Medicago truncatula: one gene and its partner. The protein of the gene in region 2 interacts with the protein of the main gene of each other region in a pairwise test. Links are inferred from orthologs where the notes say so. Each region holds a gene or a part of one and is shown on either strand. Other genes may lie near its edges.

Region 1 (3,928 bases), on a different chromosome or scaffold from region 2:
TTAGGCTAATAAATTAAATGTGGTATATGACATTTATTATCTATATTTTATTTTATTTTTTCCTTTTTTTAATACTTAAGATTATGTGTCTAATTTGCTAAAAAGATAATATTGTGTGTCTAATTAGGTGAATTTAATTGGTTGATTGTATAAAGTTTTTTACACCGTCAGTCTATTCTAATTAATCTCTTGAAATTTTGCAATTTTGACTTAAATTACTTTGACCATATTTTTCTACTAAAATACAAAGATAAATAATATCATATAAGACGTCGTTAGATTCGTCTCGATGAGTATTTTCAAAATATCATATTTTCATGATTTTTTCTAACATATTATTCAAAATATTTAAGCTCAAAATTATACATTGGCATACGTAATATGATCAACTGTGACATGTATTATGGGACGGATGAGGTACTTTTTTTTATAAATTTACAATGCCTCAGCCAGTGGATTTAGACCATCTCCATTGGAAGGGTCTTAACTATTAGATATCCCAATGAGGAGAATCTTTTTCAGAGTCTTATAAGACCCGGGGTCTTACTTAAGATACAAAAATTATTAGATACTACTGTTAAAAAATTATAAATGAGCGATGTATACACGTGAGATTCATTTAATAACCCAAAAATAAATGTCTCCATTGTGGATGCTTTAGAGCAATATCAAACAATCATTATTTAATACTATGGTCTAGTACCTCTCTTATTTGCTTTTATTTTTTGACAAGGTACCTCTCCTATTGTTTTTATAGCCTTTTTTGTTTATCATAAAAAGGAAAAGAAAAACTATATTAGCAATAATAAATAAATGAAAAAAAACAATAATTCATGAGATTGGGCACTCCTTAACATTCCTTTACACGGATACCAACGTACAGTTAACGGCCGTTTGGTTCCGTTTCCTAAACCAGTCGAACTCCCTCCATCTTGATATCGTATCAACGGTTTCGCGCTCAAAAATGGCCCACAGAGCCAAAACCCTCCAACAAAAACAATCCACGTCATCACACCGAAAAGTGGCCCCACTGATAAAGAGCGTGTCGGGTGCTTAACCTTCGGTTACGGAAAAGACAATCCCTGCAAACGGCGTCTCTTTGTTTACTTTTGCCTTCATCAAATCATCACCACCACTATACTCCACAGGTCCACACCTCAACAACAACACTGACAGAGTAAAATAAAGAATTTAACAAATACTTATAACAAAGACAAAGAAAAAGAATGTGAGTGGAATAAGAAGTGAAAGAGAACGTTGAAATTATCTTCTTCACTCGCTTTACTTACCCATTTATATCATTTTCTCTTATTATTATCTTCACTGTTACCATAGCTATTGAAATGTGCGTTACCAAACTAAGATCTGTGTAAAATTTTGCTGTTGTAAAGAAATGGGAAGTGTTTCGTCGGAAGATGTTTCAGAGCGATGTGGAAGTTACAGTCCGAGTGCTGACATCAGCGAATCGGAAAGTTCTAGCAGCTTCTACGGCCGACGTTTCGACGCGGAAGGAGCTTCCAGCTCGGCAAATCTCTCGCCACGTCAGCTCGCCGCTCATTTCAACTTGCCGGCGACGGCGCAGGTTATGCTTCCGGTCATCGGTGGGAAAGATGTTGCTGTTTGGGATCACAAACGTGACTTGGATTTGACCGGTAGAGTGCTCATTCATGTTATTCTCTTTCGTACAATTGTTGTTGCTTTATGTTTTCTATTCATGAAAAATGTATGAGATTCTGAGATTGAAATTGTGAATTGTGTTAACGGTGTTTTTGTATTTTGCAGAAGTTGAAATGATGAAGGAACGTTTTGCAAAGTTGCTTTTAGGAGAAGATATGTCCGGTGGTGGAAAAGGGGTTTGCACTGCACTTGCAATCTCTAATGCCATCACAAATCTCTCCGGTTAGTTTGTTTTTTTTTCGCGTTTTGCATGTTAGTAACTATGAATTACGGACACGCAGACTGACATGTCGACGACACTGATAATAATAATTTGAAGTAATGAGTAATTCTATGTAATCAGATGTGTCGGTGTTGTATCAGTGACACAACACGTCTCAGACACACATCTTCGTTCAGAATTGTCGGTGCTTTAGAGGTTAATAAAGAAATGCATTTTTGTATGTATGATATGTGTTTTTTTTTTTTTTTTTTTTTTTTTTTTTTTTTTTGTGCATGACTTTGAATTGAAATTGTAATTGCAGCGACTGTGTTTGGTGAATTATGGAGGTTGGAGCCACTAGCACCACAGAAAAAAGCAATGTGGCGAAGGGAAATGGAATGGCTACTTTGCGTGAGTGATTCAATAGTCGAGTTGGTGCCTTCTGTGCAGCAATTTCCAGGTGGTGGAACCTATGAAGTGATGGCGACGCGGCCTCGCTCTGATTTGTACATCAATCTTCCTGCTTTGAAGAAGCTTGATGGAATGTTGCTTAGTATGTTGGATGGATTTTGTGATACTCAGTTTTGGTATGTTGATAGAGGGATTGTGTTGGGTGATTCTAAGGATTGTGATGATTATGGTAGACCTTCTGTTAGGCAAGAAGAGAAATGGTGGCTTCCTTCTCCTAAGCTTCCGCCGAATGGGTTATGTGAGGATGATAGGAAAAGGTTGCAGCAGTGTAGGGATTGTACGAACCAGATACTTAAGGCTGCCATGGCGATTAATAGTTCTGTTCTCGCTGAAATGGAAATTCCTGCTGCTTATGTAGAATCCTTGCCAAGGGTAATAATACTTTGCTTTGCATATAGGAAATAAACTGTGTTCATGGTTAATTTTGGTTTGGTACTCGGTTTATATTTTGTAAAATATGATTATATCATGCTACAATGGTCCATACTAGACAGACATCACTTCTTTTATGCATGTTTGAGTTGCAAGTACTTCTAATTAGTGCTGAAATCAGTTTTATCCATGGTTCAAAACTTCAATAAGCTGAAGTGGAATTCAAAAATGGTTTAGTATTTGGTAGAATGTTTTGAATTTTTTTCGCTAAAATTGGATGAAAACTCAAAATGCCTTTTTGGTTTTACCAATGCAGAATGGCAAAGCTTGTCTTGGGGATATAATATACCGGTACATAACTGCTGGTCAGTTTTCCTCTGAATGTCTTCTGGATTGCTTGGATTTATCATCTGAGCACCACACACAAGATATAGCTAATAGAATTGAGGCTGCTATACATGTATGGAGGTTGAAAGACTATAAGAAACTTAAAAAATCGGGGAAAGCCAGACGGTCTTGGGGTGGAAAGGTAAAGAGCCTTGTCGCTGATGGTGAGAAGAACCACTTTCTTGTCCAACGGGCAGAGACACTACTGCAAAGCTTGAAACGCCGATTTCCCGGGCTTCCTCAAACAGCGCTAGACATGGCCAAGATACAGTATAATAAGGTACATTTTCTCCCTCTTAAAGTTGGGATAAAACTCATAATTCGTTCTATTGATCTGCATCATACATTTCACTCATAATTGCTAGTAGATTGTGTTGAAGTAATATGCAATATATTAGGTGCATCTGATCGGGAAATTATTTCTAGTTTGTTCCAATTAGCATTCAAAAGTTTCAGCAGAAGATATAATCCTGGCATCGGTACATAGATATCATTTTCTAAGTTTCTTGGTTCCCTTATGCCTGTATTTTGTGAGAATAAAAAGAATTTGCTGAGGTCAAGTGCAGTATAAATAGCATTTTCAGTTTCATCATCCATATTGACGATTGATCATTGTATGTCTATGTGATAAGTTTGTGCATGGCTTCTAGTCTGTATGGTTACAGAGGTTGGGCATTGGGACAAGGGAGCTTAAAATCAATGAATAAACTTATTTGGAACGTTGTTTTCCTTGCAGGATGTAGGGCAGTCTATTCTTGAGAGTTATTCCAGGGTGATGGAGAGCTTGGCCTTTAACATAATGGCCAGGATCGATGATGT
Region 2 (3,928 bases):
CACTTGCTCCTTAGCAAGTGTTGGGTTCAAAGCCGGGCGAGCGCAAAGTACCTCGAATAGAACCACACCAAATGAGTACACATCGGATTTGTCGGTCAGTTGTTGCCTCCTAAAGTATTCTGGATCCAAGTAACCAAAACTACCCTTTACCACGGTACTTACATGAGTATTATCCAATGTAGGACCTGTTTTAGACAATCCAAAATCAGAAACCTTGGCCACCCACTTCTCATCTAGTAAAATGTTTGTAGTCTTCACATCACGGTGGATGATGGTATATTTAGCACCGGTGTGAAGATAGTGTAGACCTCGAGCAGCTCCAATGCATATCTCAAGCCTTTGCTTCCATGGAAGTGGAGGTTTCTGAGTCTTGTATAGATGCTCCCTGAGTGTTCCATATGCCATATGATCATAGACAAGGATCATTTCGGTGTTCTCTTCACAGTATCCGATCAATGAAACAAGGTGTCGGTGACGAAGTTTGGAGAGCATTTCAATTTCAGTTTGGAATTCGTGCACACCCTGCTCAGAGAGTGGATTCCCACGTTTAATTGCAACTTTGGTTGACCCGCCATCAATTTCTCCTTTGTAAACCTTGCCAAATCCTCCCACACCAAGAATCAAAGATTCGTCAAAGTTGTTTGTAGCAGCCTTGATTTCAGCAAATGAGAAATGACGACAAAGGTTTGATGGAAGAGTGGAAGTGTAACTTCCGGTTGTGTTCGTCTTGGCAGAAGCTGCAGAGTGTGAATTACCGTAAAGGGAAAGGGGAAGCCAGCCAGACGGCCCTTCACTTGTACTAGAATCTTTTCCATTCCTACGGCGACGAGACGTGCCAAAAGCAAATAGCCCAATCAAAAGCAATAAAGCAACTCCTCCACCAATACCTCCAGCAATGATTCCTGTATGACTCTTGGATTTACTAGATTTCCTAGCCAATGAAGGATCAATTAAGTCTTGCACCTGAGGAGGAGGAGGGTTTGTCCCTGCCAGATTACCTTTACTATCACTGATTTTGAATATTTCTACTCCATTCAAGATTGCGTCATAGTAATTGGACTTGGAAGCTGTATTTGGATGCAGTGCAAGCCACAGGTCCTGCTGCGGTGGCCCATTGGGAGCAAATACAACATAATCTTTATGCACCGGAACCCCATTTGAATGTGGAAGGTCAAAACTATCTGCCCAGGCAATAACATCAGCCCCGTCCTGAGCAGTTTGATTACCGAGGAATATATCGAATACCCTTTGATTAACCTTAGTTATAGTTGTCGTGCCCTCACAAAAATGAAGTCTCACAAGATAGGAAAACCCAGAATCAATTGAGAAAATCCAAGTCAAGTTCCAATTCAAGCTGATATTGGGATTCGGACCCATCGATCTGGCCGTCACGTAAACATCGGACGGAGCAATATAAGATGGTGTTCCCGGAGGATACTCAAGCTTCACTTCTGGATCAGCAGTCTCGGTAACTCCAAATGCAGCCCCATAAATGTAACGCACATCATCGGTCCATGACCTAAACATGCCGGTATCTTTGGAAGGTGAAATATCATTCCCACCCACGTTTAACCTATAAACATTCTCAAGTGCAGTGCTGTTGTCAATGGTGAAGGTAGTACCCGTACCAACAATCATGGTGGTTCCATCAGTAGAAGTATAAATATCAGGCATGGAAACAACCTCAATCCCATTTACAAATGCATAGGCTTTAGATGCATTGGCAGATGGAGTAAAAGTCACATTCAAGGTTCCTTCATCAACATGAATGCAATATTCCTTCACAATGTAATCGTAATTCAAACCCAAAGCAGTCTCAGAAACACTGAAATTCCTAAGCACGGTGTATGATTGCGCAGTCACACCAAACCGTGCATCGGATGCATTAAGCCCACCATAAGAAGCCGAATAAAAGTACAACCGTAGGAACTTCCAACCGGAAGCCACCGGAAAACTATAGGTATACGGCGATTGAAAAACACGCGCAGTCATAAACGGAATCTGCGGAACTGCAGGATCTTGAGTTGCAGCCTGTGATGTAGTGGATTTTACAGCTGATGAACCAAATTTTGAACCATTATCAGTGGTCCATTCACGGCCATCAGGATCAGTACTAACAGCAGGACCGCCACAATTCAGCAGGATTTTATCTGTTGGCTTAAAATCTGCTGCTAGAACAAGCTCAATAGCTAACACTAAGAACAAAAACAGTGGAACACAAACAAAGTATTTGTTCATGTTCTTCATAATGACCATGAAACACAACAAGTCCAAAACCACAAAATAAACAAAACCCTTGTTTTGTTTTTTGTTTCTAGCTTATTACAATTACAATCTAAACAAACCCAGAATTGTAAAACAAAGAAAGAGGTTAAATTTGATAGAAAGATCTGATTTTTAGAACACCCAGATCGGGAAAGTAAATTGGAAAGAGTTTCCAAAATCAGCAAGGGAAAATGATGAGGTGGATTTAGAGTTAAGAGGAGATTGTTTGAAGAAAGAAAGGTGTAGAAGATGGTGTGAATGAAGGGAAAGTGTAGAAGAAAGAGAAGGGGTTTTACCTTATGCCATGGGAAGAAAGATGAGCTGAAAAAGGAAGCAACTTGGTGAGTCAAAGAGGAGAGATCTTGTTGTGTATGTAGGGTTGGATTAGAAGAAGTTGATGGAGTCAGAAAGTTGCAGAAACAAATAGATAAATGCTGCGACCAAGTTGTAACTCACTAACTTGTAGTTGTAAGAGAAAATGCTAAATTCAATAACCACAAAAGGTTAAAAAAAATAAAAATAGATATACAAATAATGCAAATTAATTCACCCAACAAAAATTGACTTAAAAGGCATCATGCACTAGATCATTTTAAAAAAAATAGATTGACATCTAATAAAAATTCACCATTTACAAATTAAACTCACTAACCAGTAACATGATCAATTTCGTCGTAATGAGCATAGCTCAAGTGGACAATGATATTGCAATAAACAAGAGTTGATGTTCAAACTATAGGTTATCCACTTAACTATTTGATGAAAAAATAATCAATTTCAAACCTATAAGTGTAACTTATTTACTTCATGAGGGAAACCAAATTTACACTCAATCATGTAAATTATCCTACCTAATGCCCAGTGAAAATAATACTAATTTTGAAATTAGTTTTTATTTACTAAAATAAATTATAAGCTCATTTAATTTAAAGAGTACAATTCCTTTTAATTTTATTTATTTTAATTACCTAAAAAATATATTTATTTTAAAAACTAGTTTTCTTAATAGAATGACAAAGGAGAAGAAAAGGAAAAAAGAACGCTATGAATAATTATTCAAAAAAAAAAAAACGTTATGAATAATGTAATGTTTAGGACAACAAGTCTCAACATAATCTTCAACTCCAATAGAAAATTTGTCAAAAAATCACAGCTAACCTTAAAGAACACAAAAAAGAAGAAGGTTATTTTAGTAACATTATTTTTACTAGTTAAATTTAACTTTAAAGTATATCATTTTAGATATAGTTGGTAACATTTTCCAATTACATATAGTAGTTACTAATATTAATGGTAGGAGAGAATTGAACCGTATCCTAATTTCAAATCTTATTGCCTTTATTGTAAAAATAAGTTCTCTAACCACACCTTTATACGTGAATATTTTGTATCTATTGATCGTTAAATTATCTTATTAATAAAGCTCCACATGACTTAGTTTTAGTTAGTGAGGCTCCTTTTTGAAATTACCCGTAATAGTTCACACCTAAATTTTCTCCTTTTAAGCTTTTGAATGAATCTTTACATTTTTGTTTCTTGCTCCTTGACTTTTGCGGTATGCGTAAATGGAGGCGATACTTGTTCAATTTGACGATGATGTGATTATTTTTTTTTAAAAAATAAACGATATTTATTCATTTAAATTGATAGAGTACATCGATAC

Evidence for each region.
Region 1: the proteins of receptor-like protein kinase FERONIA (region 2) and rop guanine nucleotide exchange factor 1 interact in binary tests that used the Arabidopsis thaliana proteins (3 or more experiments, as listed by UniProt). The link is inferred for Medicago truncatula from reciprocal best matches to the Arabidopsis thaliana genes FER and ROPGEF1.

Annotation. Positions count from the first base shown.
Region 1 is NC_053045.1:36,885,004-36,888,931, reverse strand, and holds the start of rop guanine nucleotide exchange factor 1, read left to right. Parts: upstream 1-1,126; 5' UTR 1,127-1,393; coding exon 1,394-1,652; intron 1,653-1,782; coding exon 1,783-1,899; intron 1,900-2,201; coding exon 2,202-2,722; intron 2,723-3,038; coding exon 3,039-3,389; intron 3,390-3,845; coding exon 3,846-3,928. UniProt on the Arabidopsis thaliana protein: Guanine-nucleotide exchange factor (GEF) that acts as an activator of Rop (Rho of plants) GTPases by promoting the exchange of GDP for GTP. Acts downstream of PRK2 in the control of polarized pollen tube growth by activating ARAC11/ROP1.
Region 2 is NC_053048.1:34,220,440-34,224,367, reverse strand, and holds the start of receptor-like protein kinase FERONIA, read right to left. Parts: upstream 2,736-3,928; 5' UTR 2,257-2,735; coding exon 1-2,256. UniProt on the Arabidopsis thaliana protein: Receptor-like protein kinase that mediates the female control of male gamete delivery during fertilization, including growth cessation of compatible pollen tubes ensuring a reproductive isolation barriers, by regulating MLO7 subcellular polarization upon pollen tube perception in the female gametophyte synergids.